Linked DNA regions of Rhinolophus ferrumequinum. The protein of the gene in region 2 interacts with the protein of the main gene of each other region in a pairwise test. Links are inferred from orthologs where the notes say so. Each region holds a gene or a part of one and is shown on either strand. Other genes may lie near its edges. The genes, in order: IMMT, myomegalin, TNIK and CCDC146.

Region 1 (7,793 bases), on a different chromosome or scaffold from region 2:
CACACACACACTCTTACCTTAGAGAAACCCCAGCACTCATGTACCAGCACATGAGGTCAATCAGCTTTGTACCTAATCGTCCCAAACTAGAAACACCCAAATACTCATCAACAGTAAAATGGAGAATTGTGGTGTAGTCACATAAGAGACTATCATATAGCAGCAATGAGAAAGCCCTGCAGCTACGTGCAAAATGAATTTAACAAAGTAAAAGATACAAGAAGACATACTGTGTGATACCATTCATGTAAAACACAAACAGAAGAACTAAACAACATATTACTTAGAGATGCACACATAGAGATGCTAAAACTCACACACAAAAAAGACAAGGTAATAAAAACCATGAAGATAGTGTTTACATTTGGCAAAAAAAAGGGACTTTTGACTGGGGAGGTTCACTGGGGTGCAGAGGAAGTTCTATGTCTTGACCTGGGTTAGTTATAGGGATGTTTGCTTTAGAGTTTAGAGATATTGTGGGTTTGGTTCCAGACCACGACAATAAAGTGAATATCGTAATAAATCAAGTCCAACGAATTTTGGTTTTTCAGTGCATATAAAAGTTATGTTTACATTATATACTGTAGTCTATTAAGTGTGCAATAACATGTCTAAACACACACACACACATATATGTGTGTGTGTGTGTATATATATATATATATATATATATTCCTTAATTTAAAAATACTAACCATTATCTGAGCCTGTTGGAAAAAAATGGTGTCAGCTGACTTGCTCCATGCAGGATTACCACAAACCTTCAATTCGTTAAAAAAAAAAAAAAAAAAGGCAATATCTACAAAGCACAAAATGAGGTACAGCCTGTATTTAAGTCATTCATGTATGTTACATAAATTTTTCTTTGTTGTATTTTACAATTTAAAAATACCCCGTGTAAACAAGCTCTTGTATAACAGTTGGAAAAATTTACATGGTAGCATTTTTTTTCTTTCTATTCTTCCACAGAATTTTATCATTTATTTTTTTGTGAATAATTTACTCATAATCTTATCATATTTGAATGATGTTTAATTTTTTGCAAAAATCCTTAGGCAGATAAATTAAGTTGCCTTCATTCCTGTCATCTCAATCAAGAAATCCTATGACTGCCCTTGTGTCTGGGGCTGAGTGAGGAAAACAGCCACACTGTGTCCCTGTACCTTGTGTGAATACCATACATAGAAAATTACTGTGCCAGCACTACTCAAGGCGCTTTACATGCTGGAGCTCATTTAGTCCTCAGGTAGGTGGTATTATCCCTATTTTAGAGTTGTAGAATCTTAAGTTGTGAGAGACGTTTTCAAGGTCAAAGGTCGTGAATGGTGGGTCCCAGGCTCTGAATCAGAAAATTAGGTGGGGATTTTCTGTTTCCCTCGCCCATCTCCAAGCCTCTCCTCGTTTGCTTTCGAGGGAAGGCTAGGAGCCGGTAAGGATGCGGAAACTACGAGCCACCCAGATCCAAGAAGGTCCAAGAGTCTCGGGGATCTCCTGGGCGGCCGAATACAGGCAGCCCCGGAGAAAATTAGGCACCTTCTGGCATCAAATAATGATCCCCTCCTTTTTTTTCCCGTTAACCTCCACGCTAAACCCCCACTCCATCCTGCACCAGTCCCCCCTTCTGTGAACGTAAAAATCGAGCGCGTTGCTCTCCACTAACCTGTTGCTGCTCTCACCGCACTAGCAAATGTAGGGGCCGCCATCTTGCCACCCCGCCGTACGGCAGCCGGCTTGGATCTAAAAGCTTCAGGGCAAAGGGGAATTAAGGAAAAGTAATCTGGGTGGAGTCAAAGAAAGGGAAAAAAAATTAATAAAGGAACGATCAAATCAATTTTTATTGAACGTCTTGTATATGCCAGGCTGTCCTTCATTCCTGTTAAACAAGTGCCTGGCATATAGTAGGCTCTCAATAAATTTTTTTGAACATTTGCTTGAAAAATATTTAAAATACACGACATACGTGAAACAATCTTTTTGCTCATTTTATTCAATTTATTTCTGAGAATAAAACATTATTTTTCCAAAACTGGTAGAAGAATGAGAAATAGCAACATGATTAAAAATTATTTTAAAAATTGAATGCCAACTATAATCAAGTGAATGTAAACCTCCTAAGGATATCACACACATTTTTTCTAATCAATAACACTGACTGTCATTTGGTAGAACAGAATTTCAACTCGTCCTGAACAATTTTACCTTCCTTAGTTTATTCCTGGGAATTAGTGATTGTATGTTTTTTCTAATGTTCATGCAAACAAAAAAACCCAATGAACCTGTCTCCCATCCTTGTTGTCTGAGATATTCCATGCATATACAATATATGGCACTATTTGCTGGTTGAAACAAGTTAAGGGTTATAACATGGGCAAGATCATTGTTGGCAGTAAGAACACCAAGGGTTAAGGTAAGAAGAGAGGGAGCCAAGACAGAAAGACACAGGATTTATTTAGAGCAGTGGTTCTCCAACTTTTTGGTGTTAGACCCTCTTTACATGTTTAAAAATTCAGGACCCCAAAGAGCTTTTAATTATATTTATTAGTATTTACTATACTGGAAATTAAAATTGAAAAAATTAAAAATAAACTAATACTTGTATTAGTTTCCTATTGCTGCTATAACAAATTACCCAAACCTAGTGGCTTAGAACAATGAAGACTTATTATCTTATAATTCTGTAGGTCAGAAATCCAAAATGGGTTTCACAGGTTAAAATCAAGGCATCCAGGGCTGTGTTCCTTCTGGAAGCTCTAAGGGCGAATCTGTTTCCTTGCCTCTTCCATCTTCGAGAGGCTAACTGTACTCCTTGGTTTACAGCCTCCTTCCATATTCAAAGCCAGTAATTGCATCACTCTGACTTCTACTTCCATTGTCATATCTCCTTCTCTGACTGACCTTCCTAGCCCTCTTTCATTCCTCAGGACCCTCACAGGTAATCCAGGATAGTCCTGGACAGTACCCTCATCTCGATATGAATTTAATGATATCTGCAAAGTTCTTTTTGTCATTTAAGGTAATATATTCACAGGTGCAAGGGATCAGGAGTATGTGGACATATTTGGGGATAATTATTCTGCCTACCCCACTTATTTTTAAACAACAATTTATCACATGTTAACATATTTTCATAAAAAATACTCCAACATAAAAGAAATTAGTGTGAAGAGTGGCATTGTTTAACCTTCTTGCACATCTCTTTAAGGTCTGGTTTAACAGGAAGCTGGATTCTGAAATTTGCTTATGCATTCAATCTGTTGTGGTATCTGGAAAGCTCTACACTTAGGAGATAATGAATGAGCAAATATCTTAATATTATGGAGGTCTTTTTTATTTTATGGACCCTGAAAAGGGGCCTGAGGCTCCCCAGGGATCCTAGATCCCACTTTGAGAATCACCGCGATGGTTATCCTTCAGTTTCTCTGGGTTATAGGGCATATAAGTAGGTGATGAGCTTGGAACACTCTTATTGCTATCTTGATCTCCACCTACAGTGGCCACTTCGATCCTAGAAACATCCACATATGGTAGAAAAGCACTCTTGAGACATTTCATAAAGGTTCTTTGAGTTGGCAGTGGGTGTCACTGCAGTTTTTTAACAGGGGAGTGATTTAAATTTCTGAGTTACTTTAGGAGAGTCCATTTTAAAGCCAACAAAAATTCATAAATTGCATGTGGAGAATGAGGATTAGGGACTTGGTTAAATGAGAGGTTAGAAGTTGCTAATGGTATTCAGCTCTAAAGTGTGGCTGTGCCATACATGGCTGGAGCAGACTGAAATTGCTCATTGGCATTGAGAGGATTATGGCCAAAGTGTTAGAAAAGTCATCACACTGGCATCACCTAGCATGACAACAGTGGGCAGGGATGGGTGGGGAGATTGGAGTTCAATTGCTAAAATTACTAAAAAAGATGGGAGATTGCTCTGGAGCCTACTGGGTGATGGTGATATAAAATGGAGAGCAATGTGATTACTACAGTACCTTTCAAAGCATTGAGCATATACTAATATAATTATTTGATTTTAGGTAATTTTTAAATCTTTCTCCATTTTAGAAATGGGATTAGTAGCGTTGTCTACCATACCGTAATATATTACCTAGTTAAGACTTGAAAGTACTTTGCAAACACAATAAATATACAAGTCATTTAGTTTCTATGACATTGTACTAATAGTATTAAATACTGTGTTCAATATTTAATAGGTTGTACCTTGATTACAGACTCAGTGGAATATTCTGAAGTGTTTTTGCACTGACCTTATCTTCCAACAGACCGCGGCCAAATTACCTTTCTAAAATAAAAACTTGGAGAAAGCGGTGTAGTTTGACCTGGAAGGAGCAGAAGCTATGAAATCCGAAGACTCTCGGTGCCTGTCCCTGCTCTGCCATTTGTTAGATACGTGAACGACACATTACGCACAAAAGTCTCTCCAGTGTTCGTTCACAGTCTCCCGCAATCAGGAAGACTCCAGAAGAAGAGCTGTCAAACGAAACAAACGCGCAAGCCAAGACAACACCGTTTGGCCAAACTGAATCCTTTCTGCGAAATAGCTATCCCACAGAGACAGCTGAGATGCTTTCTTCTTTGAATTCTCCGAAGAGTCACGCCTATCCGTTTTCCATACGGATCGAAGCCTGAGTTTCACAGGCCCACCCTCCCCTCCAGTTCACCTACTAACGCCGGATTCGGCGTACAGATCAGAACGCCCAGCGCGACCCGGAAAAAGAAATCAATCTTTCCGCCAGGGGAGGACCCACTAGTATCTCGGAGCTGCGCGTGCGCAGTGGCGTTAATGTCCGCCGATACGCCAGGCGCAGAGAGGCGGCCCGGACGCACGTACGCACGGACGCAGGCGCTCCCCTATTAGTGCCGTTGCGGCAGCGCCGGAGTATACCAGCGGTGCGGTCCTCCCGGCCGAGATGCTGCGGGCCTGTCAGTTTTCCGGCGTGACCTCCGCAGCCCAGGTGAGCTCGAGGGCGCCGGGAGAGAACGCGTGGTGAAGCTGACTCCCGGCGGCCGACGGAAAATGAAGAGGGAGGCTTTCGCTCCGCTTAGGCCCGGGAACAGAGGGGCTCTCTCAGGGCCATCCTCATCACGGGAGTCCCGGACGGGCCAGGCACGCGGTTAATTTCGCCGGACAGGGATGCCTTGAGGGTTATTGCTGAAGCGGGATGGGGTGTGGAAAGGAGATGGCTGGGAGGCGGGCGCAGGACAGGACGCTCGGCTTTGGGGACTTATCCAATCAACCCCTCGCTGCCCCATTCAAGGACCAATCGTGGCTCCTGGAGCCGGGACGCCGGTTGAGCGCGTGATAGGTTTCGCGCAGCCAGTGGTTGAAGGTCGAGGGGTAGAACTACAGTTCCCAGCAGGAAATGCAGAGCCTTGGCTTTGTGCATTTTTAATAAGCAGGTGCTTGGATTGTTAGAGTCCGCGTTTTAGGGGTTAAGGCTGTAATTATTCCAGAGGGACTTTTCTTTTCGTAGCTGAGAACATCTCAGCCATTCTTACCCTAAACAGAAATGAAAGATTGTAGTTTATGGAGTTCCAGTTCTTGGTACTTGAGAAAGGACAGTAGTGATGACCTTGTGCTTATTTCTGAGATTAGCCTGGGGATAAGGTGCTGGGACAACTTTGGCAGACATCCAAGGCACCTAGATACCCAGTTTTATTTCTCCGCAATTATCAAAGTAACTTTCTAAAATTAAAAAGTAAACCTATTTCCATTGCTTATAGTTTTCAGAAAATTGATATTTTGCAAAATGTTGTATTGCAAAACAGTGCTCATGCTATAATGGAACAAAATCCCTAGACATAGTGAATTAGATAGAAATCATAAAAGCCAATGTTTTTTCAAGTTTGCTTATCTCCCCGGATTCATTTTAGGTTAGGAGAAGCAGCCTCTTAAATGGGATCTGTATTAGTTTTCTGTTGCTACATAACAAATACCGCATATTTAGCAACTTAAAACAACACCCATTTGTTATCTTACAGTTTCTGAACATGAATGGCCTGGGTTCTCTGCCCAGTGTCACACAGACTGCAATCAAGGTGCTGGCTGTGGTTCTTGTTTGGAGCTCAGGGTTCTCTTCCAAGTTCACGTAGTTTGTTGGCATAATTGAGTACCTTACATAATTTAGTAACTGTAGGACTGAACTCCCTGTTTTCTTGCTAGCTTTGCCTAGCCTCTCTCTCCCAGAGGCTGCTTGAAGTTCCTTGCCACAAGATCCTCAGAGGCAGTTCATAACATGGATGTGTGCTTTCTTGCAGGCTGTCAGGAACTGGTCTCTGACTTCAAAATCTCTCTTGACTTCCCTGTTTCTGATCTCTAGACCCAGATGGAAAGGGTTTCTATTATTAGGCCACGCCCACCTGGATAACCTCCGTTTTGATTAATTCAAAGTCAACTGATTAGTAACTTGAATGACATCTACAAAATCCCTTTTACCATACAACCCTAATCATGGCCTTAGCAGCAGGGTGTGGAGATCATGGGGGCCTTCTTAAAATCTGACATACAGTCGTCCCTAAGTGGGGCTAGAAGGATGAAGAAAGTAGAGCTGCCTTTCAGGGCAGAATTGTTGAAGTTTGGCTTTGGAGCCCTCCTTTCAGTGGCACACTTTTCCTTATTTTGTCCTCAGGTTGCATCAGAGTTGTCAGTGCTCTGATCCCTCTGTCTGCCCTAAAGTCCAAAATTACTTTTTCCTTTCTTGCTTTTATCAAAATATTTTCCCCTTGCTTTGTTCCCAGTCAGGAAATTAGAAGAAAACAGATTAAGACTTAGCTTGCAACCAACCTTTCTCACCTTCCTAAAACTGCTATCTTACAAGATTTTTTCCCCCACAACTTTTATAAAATGGTTTATTCTTACTATCTCCTCAATCATTCTGTAGCATTTTATACTGTTGTTTAGTGAAATTTTTTTTGTGGGTTTTTTTTTTTTTTTGGCTTTTCTCAGGTAATATCTTGGGGCCCATCTTACCCTTCATCTCTCCTGTTTTCCTTTGTTGAGTCTGCTTCCCCCATGTACCTCTAAATAAACTCCCAAGGTGTTTTCTCACTCTCTCTCTCTCTCAGACTTTGTTTTTGTAGAGTAGTTTTAGGTTCACAGCAAAATTGAGGGCAAAGTACAGAGATTTCCCATGTACCTCCTACCCCTACATATGCACAGCCTTCCCCAATATCAGTGTCCCCCATCAGAGTGGGACATTTGTTACAACTGATGAACCTACTTGACACATCATAACACACAAAGTCCATAGTTTACGTTAGGGTTCACTTTGTGTACATTCTGTGGGTTTAGACAAATGTGTGATGTCATTTTCCATCATTATGGCATAATAGAGAGTATTTTCACTGTCCTAAAAGTAGTTTAACTATTTATCACTACCCCACCCCCGGGCAACCACTGGTCTTTTTACTGACTCCATAGTTTTGCCTTTTCCAGAATGTCATACAGATGGAATCATACAGTATGTAGCCTTTTCAGATTGGCTTCTTTCACTTAGTAATATGTATTTAAGGTTTTTCCATGTATTTTCATGGCTTGATAGCTCATTTCTTTTTAGCACTGAATAATCCATTGTTTGGATGTACCACAGTTTTTCCGTTCACCTATTGAAGGATGTTGTGGTTGCTTCCAAGTTTTGGCACTTAAAAGTAAAGCTGCTCACAATAGTCATGTGCAGGTTTTTTGGACATAAGTTTTCAATTCCTTTGGGTAAATACCAAGGAGCACGATTGCTGGATTGAATGGTGAGGGTATGTTTAGTTTTCTAAGAAACTGCCAAACTATC
Region 2 (7,249 bases):
TTTTTTGGGGGGGGGGGGGGGCGTAGTTTTTAGTAATTAGAACAGCTATTTCCAATGTCATAACTAAGGCAATGAAAACCTAATAAAACTGGCTTGAGACATGGGGATTTTCCACATCTCATTCTCTTGGAAACTCCTTCCTCACCCAGAATTAGGTCTTAGAAACACTACAACACAGAGGGTACAAAAGTGGCTAAGGTTCTAAGAGAGCCTTCCCAGGGCTCCATGATCTGGAGATCAAAAGAGAGATAGTGCAAAAGATCCTGGCCATACTAATATTTAGGAAGTTTGTTCCAAATTAGTGATAATTCTCTAACGTCAACACTTTTGTAAGTAGTTCTTCGTTGATGGGTTTTCCCATTTATCTGCAGAGTGTCTAATCTTTTGACTGACATTTTACTGAATACAGTTTAGGATTGTTTTAATTCAGTGGTTTTCAAAGTGTGGCTCCCAGACAGCAGCCAACAGCAGGATTTGGGAATTTATTAGGAAAGCAAATTCTTGGGTCCCACCCCAGACCAACTGAATCAGAAACTCTAGTAAGTAGGTCCCAGCAATCTCTGTGTCTTTACAAACCCTCCCTGATTCCAACGTACGCCAAAGGTTGAAAACAACCGTTTAAATTCAACATTTGTAGATTAGGAAATTAAGGACCAGTTATTAGTGATTTCACCTAGGACATACAGCTAACAAGTGCTTGGGAGTGCACTCATCAATCCATTTTTGAGGGCAAACTGCTGATATAGCAAATGAATAATTTGTTTAATTTATAATAGTTTGTCACAATATGAAACCTGTTCTCAAATTTTCCTTTCTTATGTACCTTTGATACGTTTTAGAAATAATCATCCTATTCTAAATGATCATAAAATCCCGAAATCTCACCTTAACAACATGGCATGCTTCAATCGTAACTGTGTGGTGTGCACAGACATATAATAGTTTCCAAAGCTCATATGGATAGGAACCATAAAGTTTTGAATGTGCAATTGGGCCTTTTATAGAAAGAGTTCTAGATTCTTCTGGGTTCTAATGTATCTTCTCAATTTTCAAACCTATTCTTATGATAAAGTGGGGTTTACTTTCTACCAAAGAAATCCATCAGATAAAAGTTTATGGGTAATATATATTTTTATATTTATATACCCCTTTTTATCTTTCTATAAATTGAACTATACCAACATGTATAAAATCTACAAATCTAAGAGTTCAGTATATGAGCTTTGATGGTTGTACACATCCATGTAACCATCACCCAAATCAAGATAAAGAACAATTTCATCACCCCAGAAAATTTCTTTGTACCCCTTTACTGTCAATTCTCACCCTATCTCGTCCCCTAAAATCACTTCCTGAATTTCTCGCACTATAGATTCTTTTTTTGTTGTTGTTAGACCTAAAATAAATGGAATCTCATGGGACGTATTGATGGGTATATGACTTGTTTCATGCTTCATTCATGTGGGCATCAAAGTTCTTTCTTTTTTATTGCTGGTTAGTACTGCATTGTATGAATATATGAAAATGTGTTTTTGCTTACCTTTTTCTTAGTAATAATTTTTTTTCTTATCACGAAAGCAATACATGCTTATTATAGAAAATGATAGAATATCAAGGAGGAAAGACGAAAATAAGCATCCATAATTCCATTCTCTAGACATAATTGCTGTTTAATAACTTGTATATTCCCTTTGAACCTTTGTTTATATGTTGTGCACATATATGTAATATATATAGTTATCACGTTACAAAGATTCTCATTTTAGGTTCATGTTTTACTACTTAGACTCTGATACTCGTGTGTTAAATTGGCTCAGTTCTTAGTTTTTACTATAGAATATTCTCTAAATTTAAAAAAAATTAAAAAATAATAGACGACTACACATTCATGGCCAAAAATTCAAATGACACGTGGTATATAGAATAAAAGTAAATGTTCTTGTTGAGCCCCACCCCCTTTTGCTTGCCTTCCCATACGTAGCCAGTGTTAACTAAATACAAAATCTTGACCAAGATGACATTCGTGAGGACCGTGAAATGCTGAATTTATTATCTCTTATCTTAATTTTTAAATTTAGTATTACAGTTTTCTTCTATGTTTTATTTTTCAATTTTTGCGTTCAAGTTTTGCTGTCTACACACCAGTGATCTTTTAGTTGGGATGAAATGATTTTATAATAACAAATGATTATGTTAGGACTATTTCTAGTACTAAAGTTTACTATCCATTTTGAAATATGGTTTTTACATATTTTCTCTAGGAGTGAATAGAGTGCTAGCTTCAAATTTTCTTTGATTGAGTGATTTATTCCGATCTGTTGTTGAAAGCCTCGATATGTATAGCTCTCTCTTTTGGTATGTTGATCTGTACTTATAGCAAACAAATTCTCCAATGGTAAATCGCCTTTTCTCCATTTATACTGATTTGCACTTCTACACGAAGCTGTCTATATACTCATTCAAGTTTAGAGACGCTCGGCCAGATGCACAATTTTATTAAGGAACAGAGAATATTACAAAGTATTCTTTAGTTTGCTCCTGAAAAGCACTTTGTTTCATTAGCATTTTCACCCCCTGGGAAAACGTGGCTTGCATTCAGTCAGAGATGAGGCTTGATTAATTTGTTAGGAAATTTTTGAATTTGCACTTTTATGGAGTTTTGAGTCCTTGCTGCTGTTTAGGACAATACTTAAGACAGCGTCAGCAGGGTCGTGTCCTGTAGGCCAGAAACACCTTGCCTCTCTTTAGATCATATAGATTCCAAAGACTGTTGTTTAATTTCTTCTGACTTTAGAGTTCCTATACCTAGAGGCAGGCAAAAATGCAGCTGAAATGAGTTTTACTCTTTTTCTCGTCTTTGGTTTGAGGGCCAGAACACGCAGATTTAGGTGAAATCACATACGCAAAGTTTTGGAGCCTGTGAAGCCCCAAAGCTCTAAGGACTGACCTGTCTTCCAACGGAGCTACTAAGATTTTTGTTTTGGTGATTAAAATAAATGACAGAACAGTACAATCTTATGTGTGTAGAGCCCCATAAAGTTTTAAAATTACTTTAAAATAGTCCCTTTATTACAATATCAAAATAACAGTATTAAATATTAAATATTAAATATTAAAATTACAGTATTAGCTATTATTTAAGGAGCTAAGCATTGTTACAAAGTACTTCCCCTAAATCATCTCATTTAACCCTCGAGACATTTGGAGGCTTTTATGAGCTCTCACTGAAGGCATTTGAATGTCTCCAGGCTTAGGAATGTGGGTTCTGTCTTGCAGATGAGGTTCAGCAGTGCTTAAATACTGTTGTTTGCCTTGACCTCTCACAAGGTCAAGTTAGTGACATTTAGCATTATTGTCACTGGGAAATGTGCTCCAGGTGATTGCTGGGTCGGTTTTTCTTCCTGTTTGGTGTCTGCCTGCCTCTCAAAGCCAAGAAAATTCTTTAAAAGTACATTAACACCTGGATCCCTCCTGGTCAGAGCTCCGTGTTCCCTCCAGTGTTTGCTTGCGCCCAAATTCTACACCCAAGGTTGGGTGACTTACAACTGTATGGTGGTGAATAAGACATGGTACTAACTGAAGTCAGTGCAATTCCCAGCCCTAAGTCTGCACAGAGCAGCACGGCCTCACACGCTGGACGCTTTTGTTCCAGAGTCTGTCTACCCTCTCCACCCCTCAAATAAGGACTGTAGTCTACCTGAACCTGAAAGAGAACTGGGTGACGGTAATCTACTCTCAGGTGTCTACATTCTTGAAAAAGTCCATTTTGTCTGCTATTATCTACAAAATCTTGGTTAACCAGCTGCATTCACGTGGTATTTCCGGGACTCTTTCTCAGGTGACTGCTTTGTGCCTTCCCTTGATTTCTTTTGTTAAAAAAAGGGGGGTGGGCGCAAGTCATCAGAGTGCTAAAACCCACCACCCACACCCTCCAACACTTGTCTTCTTCTGTACATACTCCGGATAGCCGAGGGAGAGGTAGAACGGAGCCTCCTTAAATCCGCCCTACCTGCCTCCTCTGGTTTAAGAACCCTTTCTCCCCGCCGGCCTCTGCAGCCGCAGGGCCTTTTAACGCAGGCACCGGCCTGGGGAGGGAGAGGAGGTGGGGCCGCAGGCGGGAGGGGAGCGGCGCGCAGCGGTACCTAGTGGCGCGGCGCGGCCCGGCGGCTCCATCCGGAGTACGTGGCACTAGCCGTGGGGAGAGAGGGAGGGGATTCGGCTTTCTCTTCCCCACGCAGCGCCTCGGGACATCCTGCAGGGGCGACAGTGAGGATCCAGGAGGGAAGTGGTGCGCTTTTTCGGTGGAATCTCAAACGATGAAAGTGGCCTGGCGGTAGTCAGCGTCCGCCCCGCATTCCCCTGGGTACCCACTGTGAGCCAGGTCTGTGTTCCACCGCGAGGAGCGGTGACCCGATTGGGGGGTGAGGGAGACGCGGTCGCCACCCCGCATGCGCAGAGCGGGGGTGCGGCCTCCAGGACTACAGTTCCCAGAGGAACGTGCGGGTGGCCGCAGGCGCGAGCCGCTGGCGCCATCTTGAAATCTGATCCTCAATCTCCGAGCCTTTGCGTCAGCGGCCGGCGGCGGCGAGGGGACGGCGAGCCCAGCCCGCTAGAAGCGAGGACGCTGAGGACGCGGCGGCTGGCGGGAGAGACAGCTGGCGGAGACATGGCAGGTTCCGAGCGCGGCCTGCGCGGCTGTCACTCAGCATCCCCCTGAGGCGTTTCTCCGCCCGCGCCCTCCCCGAGGGGCGGGGCCGACCACTCTGGTACCCAGAGCTCGCGCGCGGGGCTCGGAAGAGGGGCGCCCCTGCACCGTGGGGACCCCCCGGGGCTGTGCCATGCCGGCGGGAGGCCACCGAGGCGGGAGACGGAGCGCAGCCAAGCGCCAGTGAGTGATCGCCGAGCAGCGGGCGCCTCAGGGAAGCGCGGCAGCCGCCGGGAGGGAAGATGAAGGAGATTTGCAGGATCTGTGCCCGGGAGCTGTGCGGGAACCAGCGGCGCTGGATCTTCCACACGACGTCCAAGCTCAACCTCCAGGTTCTGCTTTCGCACGTCCTGGGCAAGGATGTCTCCCGCGACGGCAAAGCCGAGTTCGCTTGCAGCAAGTGTGCTTTCATGCTCGATCGGATCTACAGATTCGACACCGTTATTGCCCGGATCGAAGCCCTTTCCATCGAGCGCTTGCAGAAGCTGCTGCTGGAGAAGGACCGCCTCAAATTCTGCATTGCCAGCATGTATCGCAAGAATAACGATGACCCTGGCGCGGAGCCCAAGGCGGGGAGTGGGACGGTGGACATTTCCGGCTTACCCGACGTGAGGTACTCTGCATTGCTGCAGGAAGATTTTGCCTATTCGGGGTTCGAGTGTTGGGTGGAAAACGAGGACCAGATCCAGGAGCTCCACAGCTGCCACGCTTCGGAAGGCGCTGGACACCGTCCCAGGAGATGCCGCGGTTGTGCAGCTTTGCGGGTTGCCGACTCTGACTATGAAGCCATTTGTAAAGTGCCTCGGAAGGTGGCCCGAAGTATCTCGTGCGGCCCTTCTTCCAGGTGGTCCACCAGCATTGGCACTGAAGAACCAGCACTGTCCGAGGTGGGGCCACCGGACTTACCCGGCACCAAAGGACCCCCCGATGGCGAAAGCATGGAGGAAGGGACACCGGGATCCTCAGTGGAATCTTTGGATGCAAGCGTCCAGGCTAGTCCTCCACAACAAAAGGACGAGGAGACTGAGAGAAGCGCCAAGGAACTTGTCAAGTGTGACTGTTGCTCAGATGACCCGGCTCCCCAGCCTGTGTGTAACCACAAGCTGGAGCTAGCTCTTAGCATGATTAAAGGTCTTGATTATAAACCCATCCAGAGCCCCCGAGGGAGCAAGCTTCCCATTCCGGTGAAATCCAGCCCACCTGGAGCCAGGCCTGGCCCTATCATGACAGATGGAGTTAGTTCTGCTTTCCTTAACCGGTCGTTGAAACCCTTTTACAAGACACCTGTCAGTTATCCCTTGGAGATTTCAGACCTGCAGGAGCTGTGGGATGATCTCTGTGAAGAATATTTGCCACTCCGGGTTCAGGTATACAAAATGGCTACATCGTGCTTCTTTGATCATAGTTTTCTGGCCCCCAGGCTTCACGTGATTTCTGTCTAGGTGAAGGTTAATAATAGTCTAGACTGAAGGATATTATTTCTAGAATTAAGAAAATAATCATTGCACCCATTTTTGTTGCACCTTTTGCTTGTGTCCCATTTAAATGAGACCCAGTAAATGTGTCCCAGTAAAGGAGATTCACATTCAATTTGCTTTTCATAATCCTCTTTGTAACAATATTGGCCTTCCCATTCATTATCAAAACTGCAGACCTTTCAAGACAAAAAGATAAAGATTTCTAATTCACGTTTACCCAATGAAAAGACATATAATCTTACTTCTGGCACTAGAACTCTTCCCTCCTTCCCCCTTCTCACCCCCTTTTTTGTTTTGTTTTCGTGTTTAGATTTGTAGATGTTTTCTCTCATTCTGTAAGGGAGTTAGTTCTCCCTGAAACATTAAACCTTTTATCCCCGATACGCCTCAAACAGATTAGAGCATAGGGTAAAGGTTTGGGGAAAACCTATTAATTCACCAAAATATTGTAACATGTGGACAATATTTATACAAAAGTAATAGGTCATTTGAGGACTAATGATGACTTGCTCATAAAAGAGACTTGGGAATTCAAGGGTTGTCATTTAAAATGTTAAGGCGAAAACTGTTCCCAGCCCGTTAGTCTATTGAGCTTCTTTAGGAGATGTGTAATGATATTAAGAGAGGATTCATCCATTATTGAGTGATAGGAAAGTTTCATCCATTATACTCTCTGAATTTCTTAATGACCAGGATATGGCAATTGATCTTAGTTTGAGCTGTTCATATCTGCCGAATTGATTTCGTGCCAGCCTTTTAAATTCAGCTATATACAGGGACCTGACAGATGCTGTTGTGTTTCTATAGCAACAGTAAATGCTAGGTTCAGTTAACTTTGTGAAACATCTGGTATGTTCTACTTGATACAAATTCTTTAGTGATACCTTTACAAGGGTGGACAATCTAGAAGGCATTTTTGGAAAGCCTGCTAAGGTCAACATCATCCTAGAAATTTAGAGCTAGGTAACAAATGAAATTGTAAAATTGTATCCAATAAGAACTTAAGCAGAAAATGGGAGACGTTTTTCAATTTACACAAAATTGTCAGAAACAGCGTATGTGAAAG
Region 3 (6,840 bases), on a different chromosome or scaffold from region 2:
TGTGTACATTAAAGAGCCACTGAAACAGCAAGGGACTGGTAAGGCTGCAGCAAATTCTCCTAGAAGCCACTGACCTTGGCTGCATTTCAGGGGTCAGGCATTCCCAAAAGGTTCTCAGCAGGCAGGCTGAGGGTTTAGGAACACATGAAACCTCTCATCTCAATGAACCCACTTCTAATTGGGGAAGACAGAGACAGATGATCTGTCCTCTGATTTGTGAAAATTACCTATATGGTCTTTGGACCCACTCCTGGCCGACACACCTCACCTACCACAAGACTGGTGGCAGACCCCAGCCCTCCCACTGTCTCCACATCTGCATGTAAGTCCTCTAGGCAGCAGGCAGCCTGTTCTCCAGTCTCCTGGGCTAGCCTTAGCCCTCCCTCCCTCTTTCCATACCTCCTGCAGGCACAAATACAGAGGCAGAGCACTCAGCCCAATTCACAAATTTCAGTGAATCTTGCAAAGATATTTTTTCAAAATATAGATCTCAGGAGTGCAGGTCTCCCATGTGTGAACTGCCTCCAGAGCTGCTGGCGAGCGCTCAGGGTTGCCCACAAGCCCTGCAGGCTCTGTGCTCAGTATCTCAAAAACCCTTCCCCAAGAAAAACCACGAGAGACACCTCTGACCAAGCCCAACTTAAATTCAGAGTGCTTTCCATTACAGGAGCGATGTCAAGATTCTGACTCAGGAAATTCACACGTTTCGCCCATTGTTCAGATGCCTTCCCCAGCCTTTGCCACTTTCCCCCACTCTGAAGTCTGGACCATCCATCCACCTGATTAACTGGCTGGCACCAACTCCCAGTGCAGAAAGTAGGGCAAATGAATACACACACAGTCTGTAAAGGAAGCGACAGACTCAGCCAGAGCATCCACCCTGTTACCAACCCCCACCCCCAGCTGCCCAGGGGGCATGGGATTCTGCATGTGGCATTTCAAAGGCAGTAAAATAGGCAGCTTACTGTAATGATGCATGAATGAGCTTTTGCTGCCCAGCTATCAAAAACGCCAGTTACAAATGGCATCTCTGTTCCTTCTCAACCCCTTGACTGCCTTGCAGAAACCTCACCTTTTGGATGCAACGATTCAAGAGAAGGCGAGGAGGAGTTAAAAAAGAGAGAGCTAGGTAGGGAAAGAGGATTAATGACACTAAAGAAAAAGTGACACTTTGACCATAAAGATAGCTCTTGAAAATAACAGTGGAGAAGGAGGCAGTATCCAGAGAAGTAGTGGAGATTCAGGGATATAACCCCAAGATGCAGTACAGTCTAACAATGTACTCCTCAGGATAGAACGTGAACTTCCAAGCTTCAGCCGTCCTGCACGTCCCTGCCTTGAGAGCCACCATCAATTCGGTCTCATCCACCCTCCATGTCTCCTGTATATACAGTTGCTTTTTTAAAATTTTATTTTTGGTTCAGGAGTGGAAGAAGCCGGCTGTAAATTGGAATCTACTCCTTCTAAGACCCCTGCTGCTGTGGCCACCCCCACCCCTCATCCCCTTCCCGGCAGGCAGCATCCAATTAAAATGGCAAGAAAGCTCTGCCCCCTTCCCCGAAGGAGAGTGTTGAGATTGGGGGGTGGGGGTGGGGAGGCGTCGAGGCTGCACTGGGATTCCTGGGATTCTGGTCTCAAAACAACAGCAAAATGGATTCTATACCAGTGATGTCTTAGTCAATACAATGAAACGGTGTCTGAGGCAATTCACGTGAAGGTAAACGCAAGCCGGTGGGGCTGAGGGTTGGGAGGTGCTCTACAAAGGACTGGCCACAGACAGGGAAAACACACACACACACGCACACACACACACACACACTCGGGAGTTCCGGTCTGATTGGGGAACAGCAGAGAACACATCCCTTTCACCTGCTTAAGTTCGCCATAAAACTGAAATGTCACAGCCACAAAATCAGAAAGCACAGGCTGGGCTCAGTTTAAACCATAAATAAAGGTGAGTGGCAGACTGGCCATTAAGAGAGCGCTGAGAGGGAGTCGGGGCGCGGAAGGCAGAAAAGGGGGGAAGAGGGGCCGTTGCCATCTACAAGACCAGCATAGAAACAGCTGCCCCTTCGGAGAAGCAGGGACCACTCCGTGGGAACCACCAGGCTCATAATGTCATCTTACAGGTAACTGTAAAACGTGAGGGGCCAGTACCTTTATTCACGCTGTTATTCTTTTTGCAGAAAGAATCAGGTCTCGCGCCTTGGCACGAGACGACTGCCCCGGGCTTGTGCGCGCACACACATACTCACACACACACACACACACACACACACACACACACACACGAGCCTTTCATTTTAATGCGCTTACAAGGGTCTAAGATGAAACTGGCATAAGCTCCACACGCTCCTGGGGGTTTTTCGGCCACAACCAGTGGACACGTACCGTACAGCCCCTGCTCTAGGGGCTTCGGAGAAAGCACCTCAGCAGCCCCCAAATCCAAACGAGAACCCAGGTTCCCTCCGCGTCGCATTCGCCCGCCTCTGCCTACCAGCCCCAGTCGACGCTCCGATCCCATTCACCCTGACCCAAACCACGAGAAAGAAATCAGAAAACGTTCTACACTCACCCTCAGAGCCGAGAGATCGATTTCATCCAGGCTGCGAGCCGGAGAGTCGCTCGCCATGTCTACTTCTTCGCCAGAGAAATGGACCAAAACCACCCCGAAGCTTTTCCCTTGGAAATTCCACCTTGGTCTATTTCACTCGCGTCCTCATGCGGGTGTCGCGCCAGAGGCCCCTGGGCCCAGCCTCCCCCGCCCGCCCGGGCTCCACTGCGCCGGATCCTGATCCTCGGCGCCTGGGTCCGCCCGGTCCAGGAGCCCAACCTGCGCTGATCTCCAACCCCGGAGCAGCGGTGCGTGTGGGCTGCGCGCCCTGATCGGCTAAAGGCGCTGGGGCTGCGTGGGTGTATTTAAATGGGACATGCTTCTTTGCTTGTGCGTGGATGGCGGCTGCATTGGCTGTTATAATGAGACACATCAACTCCTCCACTCAGCTGGGGGGTGGGGGTGGAGAACCACACAGAACTGTCTATCATCGCTTCCTGGGAGGAGTAAAGGGGAGAAAGAGGCGGAGGAGGCGTGGCCTCCGACTGGGGAGAGGCCGCGCTTCCTGACCCGTTCCCTCTGCACCAGAGTGGACGGGGGAGGGGCGGGCACCCTTTCCTCCCAGGCTTTTGTGGACTAATAGGGCTGGCTTTGAAGAGTTGTTTCTTAACCCTGCGGTCCTTATCGTAGAGGCAAAGGGGCTATTTGAACACACACATTATTGTATGTCCAATTCGTGCGCTGCAGCAATATGGCCATTTAATCGCATCTGGCGGTTTCTCGGCAGGGTTCAAATGCTGTAGCGCTGAAAAAATCCAGGGAAAAAAAAGAGCGACGCCCTCCCTCCCCCATTAATTATTTGTGGGGCTGGAGTAACGCAGGCTGGTGCAACCGGTGCATATAAGGACTTGTGTGCAAGGAAAGGGATCCGCCTCCAGCCGCGGAACGAATGGGGGAGAACGCGCGCTCGCACGGTGCGCCCTGCCCCGCGCCTCGGCAATTTGCCCCCGCGGCTAGGTGGGGTCCGCCAGCGGCCCGCGGGCTCCCGGATGGCGGGTCACTCGGGTAGGAAGGTTTCCCAGAAGCGGGAAAGCTGGGAGTCCGAGTTCCCTCTTCGCACCGCCACACCCAGGACCTGCCCGTGCCGCAATTCCCCCACGGAAACAACCGAATTGAAACGAGAAGCTTGCTCTCTGGGTGCACTAGCTCTAATTCTTCAGGTAACTCCAAAGGCAACACTGGGTAAGGCAGCGCACGCCGACTCAGGACTCTACATTTGTCTTTCAGGGAACGTTACCGCGGCTGATCTACCCAGATTGATGGAGAAAGTTTGGCTGGCGTATGAGATGTAACAGACGAGATGTGCGACCAGAGAGCAATCCCACTCCACCCGCTTTCTCATTTAAAGGCTGAACATTTACAGTGGTAAACATGACATTCAAGAGTAATCAAGAGTGTGAAGTCGCTTCCTCAGCCCTGCCACTGCCCTCCCTAGCCTTGCCCATCCTGAATACATACGTAGAAAGAAACGCTAAAATTGAACTTTTGCTCAAATACAGCAGTAGCTTTGAAAGCATCACCGTTGCACCTCTGTTAAGATAAGATTTACTTCTGGCCAAATGCATTGAGGATTTTTTTTATCGTGTAGATACCAGCTTAAGAATAAGGCTTTTGAATGAATGGATGGATGGATGGATGGATGGATGGATGGATGGAAGCCCAAGCAGTTAGTTCGTCAGGACTGCAGACATTAGAAGGCTTTTAAACAGCATTCGATAGGCGCTGTGCTGTTTTTGTTATTATTGTGTTTATATGCACTGTGCATCATGAAACTTGAATAAGATTACAGCTCAATGGCCACAGAGTTGTTTAGGAGCTTTTGCCATTAAAACGACAAACGTTTAAACGTGTTATATTCAAAACGCTCTATGTGATCTCTTATTTTTTAATAAAATCATCCAGCTCAGGGTGGTAAATAACGGTTTAGTAAGCCACCGAGTAATGTCGAAATGACGTAGAAAACTATCATTTCCTATTATTATCCTTATTTTTCCCATCTAAGTGCCTTTTTTACCCTTAATCTAGATGACAAGTGTTGAATAAAATTAAGTAAAATCAGGTATTGAGATCTATGAACAGCACTATTGCTAAAACTCCGAACATATTTAAAATGAGATAAACTTTGTTTTTTTCATGGAGAACCTTCATTTTATACTCCAGATTTTATTTGAAACATCAGAAATGGATCATTTCTTTCGGCATTAGTATGCTGTTTCAGACCATGAGAATGCCGTAATACCGGCACTACATTCTACCCTTGGATTTAGAGTTAGATCACAAAACTATATATTCTGTCATTTGGTACTACATGGGAGAGGGCTTCCTAGGAGCCCGGAGGATGACAAGAGTCAGGTAGAGGCAGGGGTGCTGGCTGCAGGAAATACCATAAGAGGAGAGGTACAATAGCCAAGGCACCTCCAGCTGCTAAGGGAAGAAAAGGAGGAAACTTGAAGCAGCTGGTGCTAGAGGTGGAGTAATAGTGGTTACTGGCCTGAGGAAGACAGATCAGATCAGGTAGAGCTTGGTAAACCTCCTGCCCTGTTGTTATTTGCTTAATATTTTCTTTGAATCAACATTTTTTTTTACATTTAAAAGGAAACATAAGTTACTACTATAAATGGAAAGCTAGCAACACTTGCTAAAAAGAAAAAAAGAAGAAGGGAACCATTAAAATAAATATAATGGAAAATAAAGCAATATCATTAAATTCTACTTAGCGATCATGGCCTGCTTCAGGCTTCTATTCTGAGGCCTGCTGTTAGGTAGTTGTTAAAAGAGAGGTTAACAAAAGCCAGAAAAGTCATTCAAAATTTTACCAAAGTGAGATTTTCTTCTGGGTGTAATCCGAGAGATTGAAAGAACTGCTATCATATATATGCAGTTTGAAAGCCTGCAGAACAATACGATATTCTGTTTATATCTATCTAAATATAAAAAGCATGGACATAGGCTTGTATTCTGTTTATATCTGTCTTAACTATAAAAACCATGGACACAGGCAGGAAGGATATAGATTAACTTCAGGATAGTAAGAACGGAAGAAGAAAACTAAAATGGGAAGGCACAAAGGAGCTCCAACAATGATGTCTAATTTATTTTTTTAAATATCTCAAGCAAATATTGCTAAATGCTTGGAATTGCTAAATCTGGATCATTACACTAATGGCTATTCATTATATTGTTCTCTGTATCTTTTTGTATATTTGAAATATTTTTGTTTTAAAAATATTTATAAAAAAGAGAATTCCAAAGGGGGTTATGTTCTCTGTATTAGGTTCAATGTTGTTTATTGTCAAATCCAACTAAAATAAACATTGTGGAAATCAGTAACACTGCTGGTGGAGCTTCTAAAAGCACACTGTACATCTTATGTCACCACAAATTCCTAAATATAACAGAAAATATATTTTAAAAAATTCATTAGAGTTCTAGAAGACAAAAAAGGCAGCATCCATGGTCTAGCAATTCAGAGGACTTCCTAGCGTATAAGACACAGGCAGGATTGGACTGCCAGTTGAGATACAAACCAAAACTGTATGGGGTGGGACCAGAGTGAGAGCTGGGGCAGCTTCAAACTCAGAGGCAAAGGCTAAAAAGAGCAGGTACTTTCATCATGAAGAACGATTAAAGAATGGCATCCATTCATTCTTTCATTCATTCAACAACTGTATGGATCATTTACTCTGTGCAAGACACAATACGAGGCCCTGGAGATTTTCCTTCATAGAGTCAGATAATACACTTATAACTAATTGATAACTAAGATTATTTTAGATGGTGGTAAGTGAAATGAAGAAAATTAAGCAAGGTAATGAGAATTAGCAGGTGGATGTGTCCACCCCCAGCCCTGACACCCACTATGAGTATGGGCGTTCGGGCCAAGGAGACAGGGTATCACCCCAAGGAACTGATCACCAAGTGCTAAGAGAAATGGGACCACATACACCCACAAGCAGAAGGTAAACTATCTGCATGCCCTGCCTTGCACCATGTCCTCTCCGGCCCCGCTTCCCAACAACCACATTCAGCAAAGCAAACACTCAGAATTAGAATCCACATCACAAATAGGCAAATGAGATTTCCAAACAGTAAGATGAGTAGATAACCCAGAACACTAATCATTTGTGGAAACCTATTACTATGAAAGAGAGGCACTAACTACAGTCAACAAATGAATTAAAACACCCAAAGTTATTTTTAATAGCGCAAAAAGAAGTTTTAATATA
Region 4 (8,004 bases), on a different chromosome or scaffold from region 2:
TTACTGTGAGGTAATAGAAAAAATATATATATATTGGTCTCTGCCACTGGCTCCTGAAACAGGGCTTCTGAAACCCTTATAGTTTCCTGGGTGATAGAAATGCCTTTTGTTCTGATGAGGGGACTTTGGGTGGTCTCCTGGATGGTTCCTGGATGAGGGCTGGTCACCGGAAAGAACAAGCCATGCTTAGAAATCGCGGAATTTTTAGCCCTGATCTCCATTCTCTTGAGAAAGTAGAAGGGCTGAAAATAGAGTTAATAATCTATCATGCCTATGCGACGAAGCCTCCATAAAAATCCCAACAGTATGGGGTTCAGAGAGCTTCCAGGTTGGTAAACATATCCACCCTGAGAGGGTGACCCCAACTCCATAGGGATAGAAGCTCCTGCTCTCGGGACCCTTCCAGACCTCACACTATGTATCCATTAGGCTACTTATCTGTGTCCTTTATCATATCCTCTAATAAACTGGTAAATGTAAGTTAAAGGTTTTCCTGAGTTTTGTGAGCTACTCTAGCAAATTAATTGAATCTAAGGAAGGGGTTGTGGGAAGCACCGATTTGTAGCCAAATCAGACAGAAGTTGTGGGTAAGGTAGGGACCTACTACTTGCCGTTAGCATCTGAAGTGGGTGTGAGCAGTCTCGTGGGACTGAGCTCTCAACCTGTGGAACCTGACATTATCTCCACATAGTGTCACAATTGAGTTAAATCGTAGGACACCCAGCTAGTGTCGCAGAGAATGGCCTGTTGTGGGGAGAAGTCCCATATACTTGGTTACTAGAGTGTCAGCAATGAATTGTTGTGAGTGTGGCAGTAATGTGAGAGTAAAGGGGACACTCACAGAAGGAGAACTATAGGTTTTCCCCTTACAATTATATTATGGGAACTTTCCCATACCAATGAATAGTCTTCAAGATATAAATTTTAAATTGTTCCATAATATTCCAGATGAATACTAATTTATGTGACTCTCCTATTTTTGGACATTTAAGTTGCTTCAATTCTTTACTATCTTTACTAAGTAACCCTGTAAAACAAAACTCCTTAAACATAAGTTGTTTTTGAATAGCCCAAATTTTATGTTTACATTAAATTCCAAAAAGTATAATTTCCAAGTCATGAATACATATGTTTTAAGGAAGTTTATGCATATTGCTGAACTGAACGCTGGAAAGTTTGTAATAACTTACACTCCCACCAGCAGTATATGTTCATGACCATAGGAATAGCTTTTTTAAAACTGAAGATGTAAAAATATCTTACAAGTACACTCTAAATAAGGGGGAAAAGTTATCTACGTATGATTCTCCATTCATTCATTTTCGAAGTCATATGATCAGAAATTTTTCAGTCTATTAAGTTTTATTATGTTTACTTCAAAATAGTAAAAACAATCATTTTGCCACAGACAGTGAAGGTTCAGTTGCCAATTCCATTTACTTGGTGTGTCTCAGAAAAGAAAAAATTACCATAGAAACAACATTATCTATTAGGGATTCCTATTTAACCTAAAAATATTTGGCACATGTACAACACATATGAGTGCATTCTCAACTTGCTTAAACAAACGCCTTTATCAAATTCTTTTTCAAAGTTATTCCCGTGGGTCTTCATTAAAAAGACAATTTGAAGATCAGTCTGAATAATTACGACCAAATAAAACACAAAGCCAAGGACTGAACTAGTATTCAGTGGGAACTTGGTGAATCTAAAAGTTAGCACCTATTGTGAGTCTTCACTAGGAGGAAGAATAATGAGGGAGGAAAGACTAAGAGGACAGAAAGGAGGAAAGAATAACTTAAGAAAACACTGAATTTTTGAAAATGTATTGGCTAGCAAAAAAACTCTATGACTTGGGCCCATAATGGACCTTAGCTCAGCTCACTAAGACATTTCTCTATCAGGATAGCTCTCAGTAATTCTGATTATTGCAGTTAGCCAAAGGTTGTTTTTTAAAGGCATTCAGTTTCTACACTTGAATTTTATTAAACGTCATTGTTTGCAGTGTGTCTTTACTAAGAACTTAGGGAATAATTTGTAGGAGGAGGAAGTGGCACAGAAAGGGAGAGAGAAGCAGGAAATGAGGAAATAAATCTTTTCTTTTCCATTTTTTAAATTACCCACAGAATAATAAAAGGTAAAGTCATTTAGTGCAATTCCTCATCATCTTAAGGTTGAAGAAACAGGACCAGGTGACACACACAAACCAGGTGCAGAGGCAGGAAAATAATCAGTCCCACGTTCTTCCTATTGCACGATATTCTCTCTCTCTCTCTCTCTCTCTCTCTCTCTCTCTCTCTCTCTCTCTCTCTCTCTCTCTCTCTCCCTCCCACCCTCCCTCCCTCTCTCTCTCTGTCTCTCATTTTAGCCCTAAAACCGAGGATCATTTGTAGTTAAAGAGATCGATACTGCTGTCAACACAAGTCCTGATCTCTCAGCTTTTCTTTTCGTAACTTAGGAGCAATGTTATCCCTAAAATAAGTATAGAGTACTTTATTTACACTGCAATTTCGTAGCCTGTGCACCGCGTTCGAGTCCATTATCTGATTTGATCCTTACAAAAACCCTTTGAGGCAAGACAAGGAAGGTATTATTGACCTCATTTTAAAAGCGAGCAATTAAAACCCAGAGACGTCCAATGACTGGCCTAAGATTACTTAAGAGTAAGAAGGAGGCAGGACTCTAATGCTATTCCTATATTTGTTGTCAAAGAGGGAGTTCACTCAAAAGTACCAATCTGGCTCTTTATCCTCTTACCTTAGAGATCCTCCATCCCTGGGTACCCCGTTCTAGTTTTGTGAAGTTTGGACCTAACCACCCACTGACGGTACTCCTAGTTTGCATCTAATTTTCACCTTTAAAACTGCAGTTTCTTACCCCTTCCCTTGATACTGATCCTTATTTAGGCTCCTATTTTTCTCTGTAGGTTATGGCTTCCAGGGTCTCACTCCAAAGCTCCACCCTCTCTAAAGAAGTCGCGTCCTCGGTATCCAAGGAAACCACACAGCCTTGCCACTTAGCCCTCTCCGCTCTTTCCATTGGCCAGTTGGATGCCATGTAGATTTTTCTTTCCGTCCCTCCAATGGCTAATGGGGTTGAGGCAAAGAACGCGCGCCTTCGGAGCAGTAGGCTACACCTGCTCTTACTACCTGCGCATTGCTTCCTGGGATATGTAGTTTCTGAGCTGCCAGGAACTCTTCGCTCTTTGGCTCCCTTTAGAACTACCTATCCCATCGGCCTTTGCGAAAGGGAGGTCGGTAGGCGAGATGTCCGGTCAGGGTGGATACTTAGAGCTTTGACATTTCAATTTGCTGTTGAGGCATGAGCGGCTGAGATTTTAAATTGAGGGATATAGCGAGCAGTCTTGCTCTTACTTCAGCAAACCCTTTGCACATCGGTGCAAAGTCGACTGGCGGTGGCGAGACTGGGCTGTGAGTGAGGTGATCGAAGGGAGCGCGAGAGGGGCGCGCCATGTTCGCCCCTCGCTGGGGCTGGGGACTCGGCTGCCTCCGGCAGCTCAGAGTGTGGGACGGCGAGGCCACCGGACGTTGGGCGTGTCGGGCTTGTCAGGCCCGGCTTTCCGGCTTAGGTGGGGGCGAGCGCGGGCCCGGGTCCGAGCCTGGCCCCGCGCACCGGACTCTGAAGGCGTGGGAGCTGCTGGTGAGCCCGTTCGGTCGGCTGCGGGCGCGGCTCCCGTGCCACCTGGCGGTGAGGCCCCTGGACCCCCTTACATACCCCGACGCCGACCGCGTGCTGGTCGCGGTGAGCGGAGTGGAGGGCGGGGCTCAGGACCTGGCGGACCTGCAGGTGAAGTACGACGAGGCGCGGAAGGAGGTGGCCATTGTGTCTGACACCATTGACCCCCAGGCGTCCGTGGAGGTGATCGCGCCTCTGAAGTTTGGCAAGTGAAATGACGTTGCAACGGGTTTGGGTCCCAGGGCACACCCAGGACCTCCTCAAATTTGGCGGAAGTGCACTTTTAATTGGTCCCTTTGGATCTGACTTTCCAACCTAATTTACAGTTGTCCCTTGAGGAAGCTGCAGCTTTTTTCTGTCCTACTTTGAGTTTCCCCCTAGTGGTTACGAATTAGTTTCCCAATTATAGACATTTTATGAATCGAATGGAAACATGGTTTGGAATGTTCTATGTGAAATGACATTTGTGGAGCCCCTTAACGTTCTCCTTTGGCACTTTGTTCCTGTTTCTATTACTCATTGTGCTTTGTCAGTAGCAAAGTGTTTTGTTTTGGGGAGGTTGACTTTGCTTGATAATCCCTTCAATGGTGTATGGCAGTCCATCCACATTTCCCCCTGCTCACAGCCTGGGGGTCTGTCCCCAAACAGCCCTGTCTATTGGATTTTCCATTTCTAACCTGGACCAAGTGTTTGGTTTCAAATAGGCACCCAGTTTCTTAACTGATGCGTCTCCATTCATTTTGGCCTAAGTAAATTTCCTGAGAGTGGCAGGTTTTGAAGAAAAACACATGGTAACACTATCTGGAAAACTTCAACTGATAATGCCTGCAAGATGTGTGTTCTAGGTATTTGGGTTGTATGTTATTTCTCAAATACAAGACAACACTTTTGTAGGAAAGTCTCCCCAGGCTCCCTTCCTTCCTGGGACTGATATGTTGATGATCATAACAGCAGCTAACACTTCTATGATGATCTTTTCAATCCTTACAATTGCTTTATAAAGTAGATACTGTTATTGTCACACTTTCAGATAAGGAAATTGAGATACAGCAAGTTTCATAAAGTAAATATTTATTGTGGGTGAACAAATAGAAAAAAAATCCATGCCTTTGTGAAGTTTATATTCTAGTAGGAGTAGATCAAGAAGTATGCCTGTTTGCTCTCAGAGATGAAGTGGTGGAACTGAAATTTGAATTGACTGGAGTCTGCTTAACCACTGTGCTTTATTGCTTCTCAACTTCTAACTAGCTTACATGAATAAGAGACCCTGACCTCAAAATGTAACAGTCTAGGGTGGGGAGGAAGATCTGCCAAAATGTTATTGTAGTACAAAGTAGAGGAAGTATTGTGATAGAGATACACCAAATTTTATGGCAGCACAAATAAAAATGGAACTACCTGTGTTGGTGATCCCAAACCTTCTTATTTGTTGATTCTACTTTTTAGAGCCAGAACCCCATTTCCACTTCACTGTTTCCATGTGTCTATTCCATAGCTCCTCAAATCAATATAATTCAGTTTTCTTCATACTTTATTATTCATCAAGTTTGTTGATACTTGTTTCAGTGAATGGATGAAAGTAGTATTACTGTCACTCAATGTCTAGCCTTAACTTCTCTACCTGTCTAGTGAGGGTAGACTATATTTAGAATCTGTTTTCCTTTCTCCATGTCTATCAACGCTGTGTTAGTCAAGCCTTATGTTGTAACACTACTTAACTGGGTAAAAATTTTGCAGTTACACTTGCATCCAGGTAAATATGGGGTAAAATTGTCTTTGTATTTTAGATTAATCCCAACCAAAATATTGCTATTATTTTAAATCTTTATAGAGACTGCGACATATTTAAGAAATTGATTTTTATGCCATAACTACTGAATTTGTGGTGTTGCACCCCAGTAGTTTGTGTTTGGGGTAATATAGTGTTTGCTTCTCTAGTCTAGTTTAAGTAAAATCATCAATATTTATTTGAGTTAGGTATTAAATGTCAGTGTTTTCTTATTTTATATTTTTGTACAGAGACACTTAAGATTACACTTTAAATTGACAGCCAAGGATGCCACCTGTGACTCCTTATTTTCCAATTTTCTTCAGATAATACTGTTATTTATCCACAATTTTGAGGTTTTAATATCGTTTAGTACTATGTTTTTCAAAGTTGTTCCCATTTTTCATTACTGAAAATACCTTTTGATATACCTGCGTGGTAATATCTTTATTTTTTTAGATATGAAAGGTTAGAGATAGGACTTGAAATACTAAGTTATGATCATATATACTGATCCTGCTACTCCTGCAAAATGCTTTTTAATTTGGGGGAGGGTTGGAAACAAATTTTTAAATCTTAATGAATATAAGAGAGGAGGCTAACTGACTTATCCAGTTTACCATAATGACTGTTAAACTTGCTGTGTTCTTACTCGAACTCTGTGTATGTGTGTGTTTTTTCAGTGGGAAAAAAGCTTCTCTTTTCCCAGGAGTGCCTATAAGATTAGGAGTTTCTGACCTCCCTTATTTCCCTCCTATATTACTTTCTCTCTTTAGATGATACAGGCCAACGAAAACTACTTTATTTCTAAAAACTGGCAGAAAAGGGCATTACATTTGGTGTTGGCATGGTGGAGACCCCTTACCTTTAGGGAGAGACTACTGACGACTATGCTCTCCCCAGGGCTCAGTAATTATGGATATAACTGAGGAGCTGGATTTCTAGGGGGTACGAATATGCTTTGGAGCCCATTAACCATGGTACTAACTTGTTTTTTTCTTTTTTCATTTCTAGACTTGAATATCAAATCATCAGGGTCTGGCTGTATAAAAGTCCAAAATATTGAATGTGATTATTGCAATATTGAAACTGAGCAGGGGACTAGCATCTTACAGTCTATTAAGGTATAAGCACTTTTCTAATTTTGTTTCAATATTATTTTTAAAACAACCCTTAAACCATGAACTGCCATATCAAGCTAAAGCTATTATTCTGAGTACCATTTTGAGAATATTGAATATCATTTATTCATTACTCAGAAATTACTTGCAAAAATTTTGCCTAGACATTAGTTCTGTTCTGAATATATAGAGGTTGTAGCAACTTTGAAAGTTTTTTCCTCATATTTCTTTTAGATTTCGTTTTGAAGTATACATGAAAATAATAGTACATTTTTAAAATATTAGATTAATCACATGTTTAATGTACCAGGTAGCTCATTACTTAAGGATTAAGTAGGTATTTGTGATAAACAACAAATGATTCATCTTGTTTTGTAATAACATTTTTATATTTAAATTTTTTAATTAAAATTTTTTAGGGTGACAATGGTTAGTAAAACTATGTAGGTTTCAAGTGTAATATTTAATTTTCTTAAAATTAGATTGGTCTTAGCTGAAGATGATTTCAAATATATCTCTAATAGGTTTTAGATATCTTTGCTAGAACTGGTACTACTTATACTTGCATGTTCAAAACACAATAGTTTTGTTAACTTTGGTGGCAGGTAACTTTGTTGAAGAGAAGTCAGTCATCTTTATTTCATAATTGCAAAACATTTTTATTTTTAGATTCATAAACTAATTAGAGTAATTAATGCATTTAAAAACTTGCACGTTATTAGTTTTGTTCCAAACACTTTTATTTGCATACTTGCATTTAGCATCTGTCCACATGTAAACCATTCCAAATAAATTTAGTTGCACCAATTTCATAAAAGATTAAAGAATACTGTAACATATCCTTTTTCAGCACAATGAGATAGTTCAGGTTCTTATAAAAGATTGCACAGTGAAATCTTCATGTTGGATGATTACCTGGATGAAATGCCATAGTTCCTTTTTTCCTTAGAAATATATAGTTTACTCATCAATGCTTGAGTTTCAGAAAATTCATATAAAATATTGTCCTCTGAAGACTCAGAGTCTTATTATTTTTTAATTTTTATTTATTGGGGTGACATTGGTTAGTAAAATTATATAGGTTTCAAGTGTACAATTCTATAATACATCATCTGTATATTGCATTGTATGTTCACCACGCAGATGAAGATTCAGAGTCTTAGATTTTCAGTTTCAAATCAAAATTAGAAGCTAGTATGCTGCTATCATTCATCTTTTGATTTATCTGGTAATTATGAAAGATCTTTTTGTCAATTTTCTCTTTTTTTGCCATTGTGGGCATAAAATGAAAAATGAATCCTCAACTTTGGCACTGTTGACATTTCGGTCCAGATAATTCTGTGTGTCAGGGGCTGACCTGTGCATTGCAGCATCCCTGGCCTCTACATACTAAATGCCAGTAGCACATCTCTCAGTTAT

Evidence for each region.
Region 1: the proteins of myomegalin (region 2) and IMMT interact in a two-hybrid assay, tested with the Homo sapiens proteins (2 studies listed by BioGRID and IntAct, with this or other methods). The link is inferred for Rhinolophus ferrumequinum from reciprocal best matches to the Homo sapiens genes PDE4DIP and IMMT.
Region 3: the proteins of myomegalin (region 2) and TNIK interact in a two-hybrid assay, tested with the Homo sapiens proteins (2 studies listed by BioGRID and IntAct). The link is inferred for Rhinolophus ferrumequinum from reciprocal best matches to the Homo sapiens genes PDE4DIP and TNIK.
Region 4: the proteins of myomegalin (region 2) and CCDC146 interact in binary tests that used the Homo sapiens proteins (3 or more experiments, as listed by UniProt). The two-hybrid records come from large-scale screens. The link is inferred for Rhinolophus ferrumequinum from reciprocal best matches to the Homo sapiens genes PDE4DIP and CCDC146.

Annotation. Positions count from the first base shown.
Region 1 is NC_046296.1:8,225,138-8,232,930, forward strand, and holds the start of IMMT (MICOS complex subunit MIC60), read left to right. Parts: upstream 1-4,781; 5' UTR 4,782-4,919; coding exon 4,920-4,964; intron 4,965-7,793. Other genes in the region: MRPL35 (39S ribosomal protein L35, mitochondrial), read right to left, coding at 1,661-1,703. UniProt on the Homo sapiens protein: Component of the MICOS complex, a large protein complex of the mitochondrial inner membrane that plays crucial roles in the maintenance of crista junctions, inner membrane architecture, and formation of contact sites to the outer membrane.
Region 2 is NC_046305.1:49,320,667-49,327,915, forward strand, and holds the start of myomegalin, read left to right. Parts: upstream 1-4,228; 5' UTR 4,229-4,947; coding exon 4,948-6,072; intron 6,073-7,249. UniProt on the Homo sapiens protein: Functions as an anchor sequestering components of the cAMP-dependent pathway to Golgi and/or centrosomes.
Region 3 is NC_046285.1:71,065,518-71,072,357, reverse strand, and holds the start of TNIK (TRAF2 and NCK-interacting protein kinase), read right to left. Parts: upstream 3,003-6,840; 5' UTR 2,633-3,002; coding exon 2,576-2,632; intron 1-2,575. UniProt on the Homo sapiens protein: Serine/threonine kinase that acts as an essential activator of the Wnt signaling pathway. Recruited to promoters of Wnt target genes and required to activate their expression. May act by phosphorylating TCF4/TCF7L2.
Region 4 is NC_046303.1:46,629,560-46,637,563, forward strand, and holds the start of CCDC146 (coiled-coil domain-containing protein 146), read right to left. Parts: upstream 3,010-8,004; 5' UTR 2,878-3,009; exon of another isoform or gene 2,758-2,877; intron 1-2,757. Other genes in the region: protein FAM185A, read left to right, coding at 3,472-3,901, 6,479-6,588. UniProt on the Homo sapiens protein: Essential for sperm flagellum biogenesis and male fertility.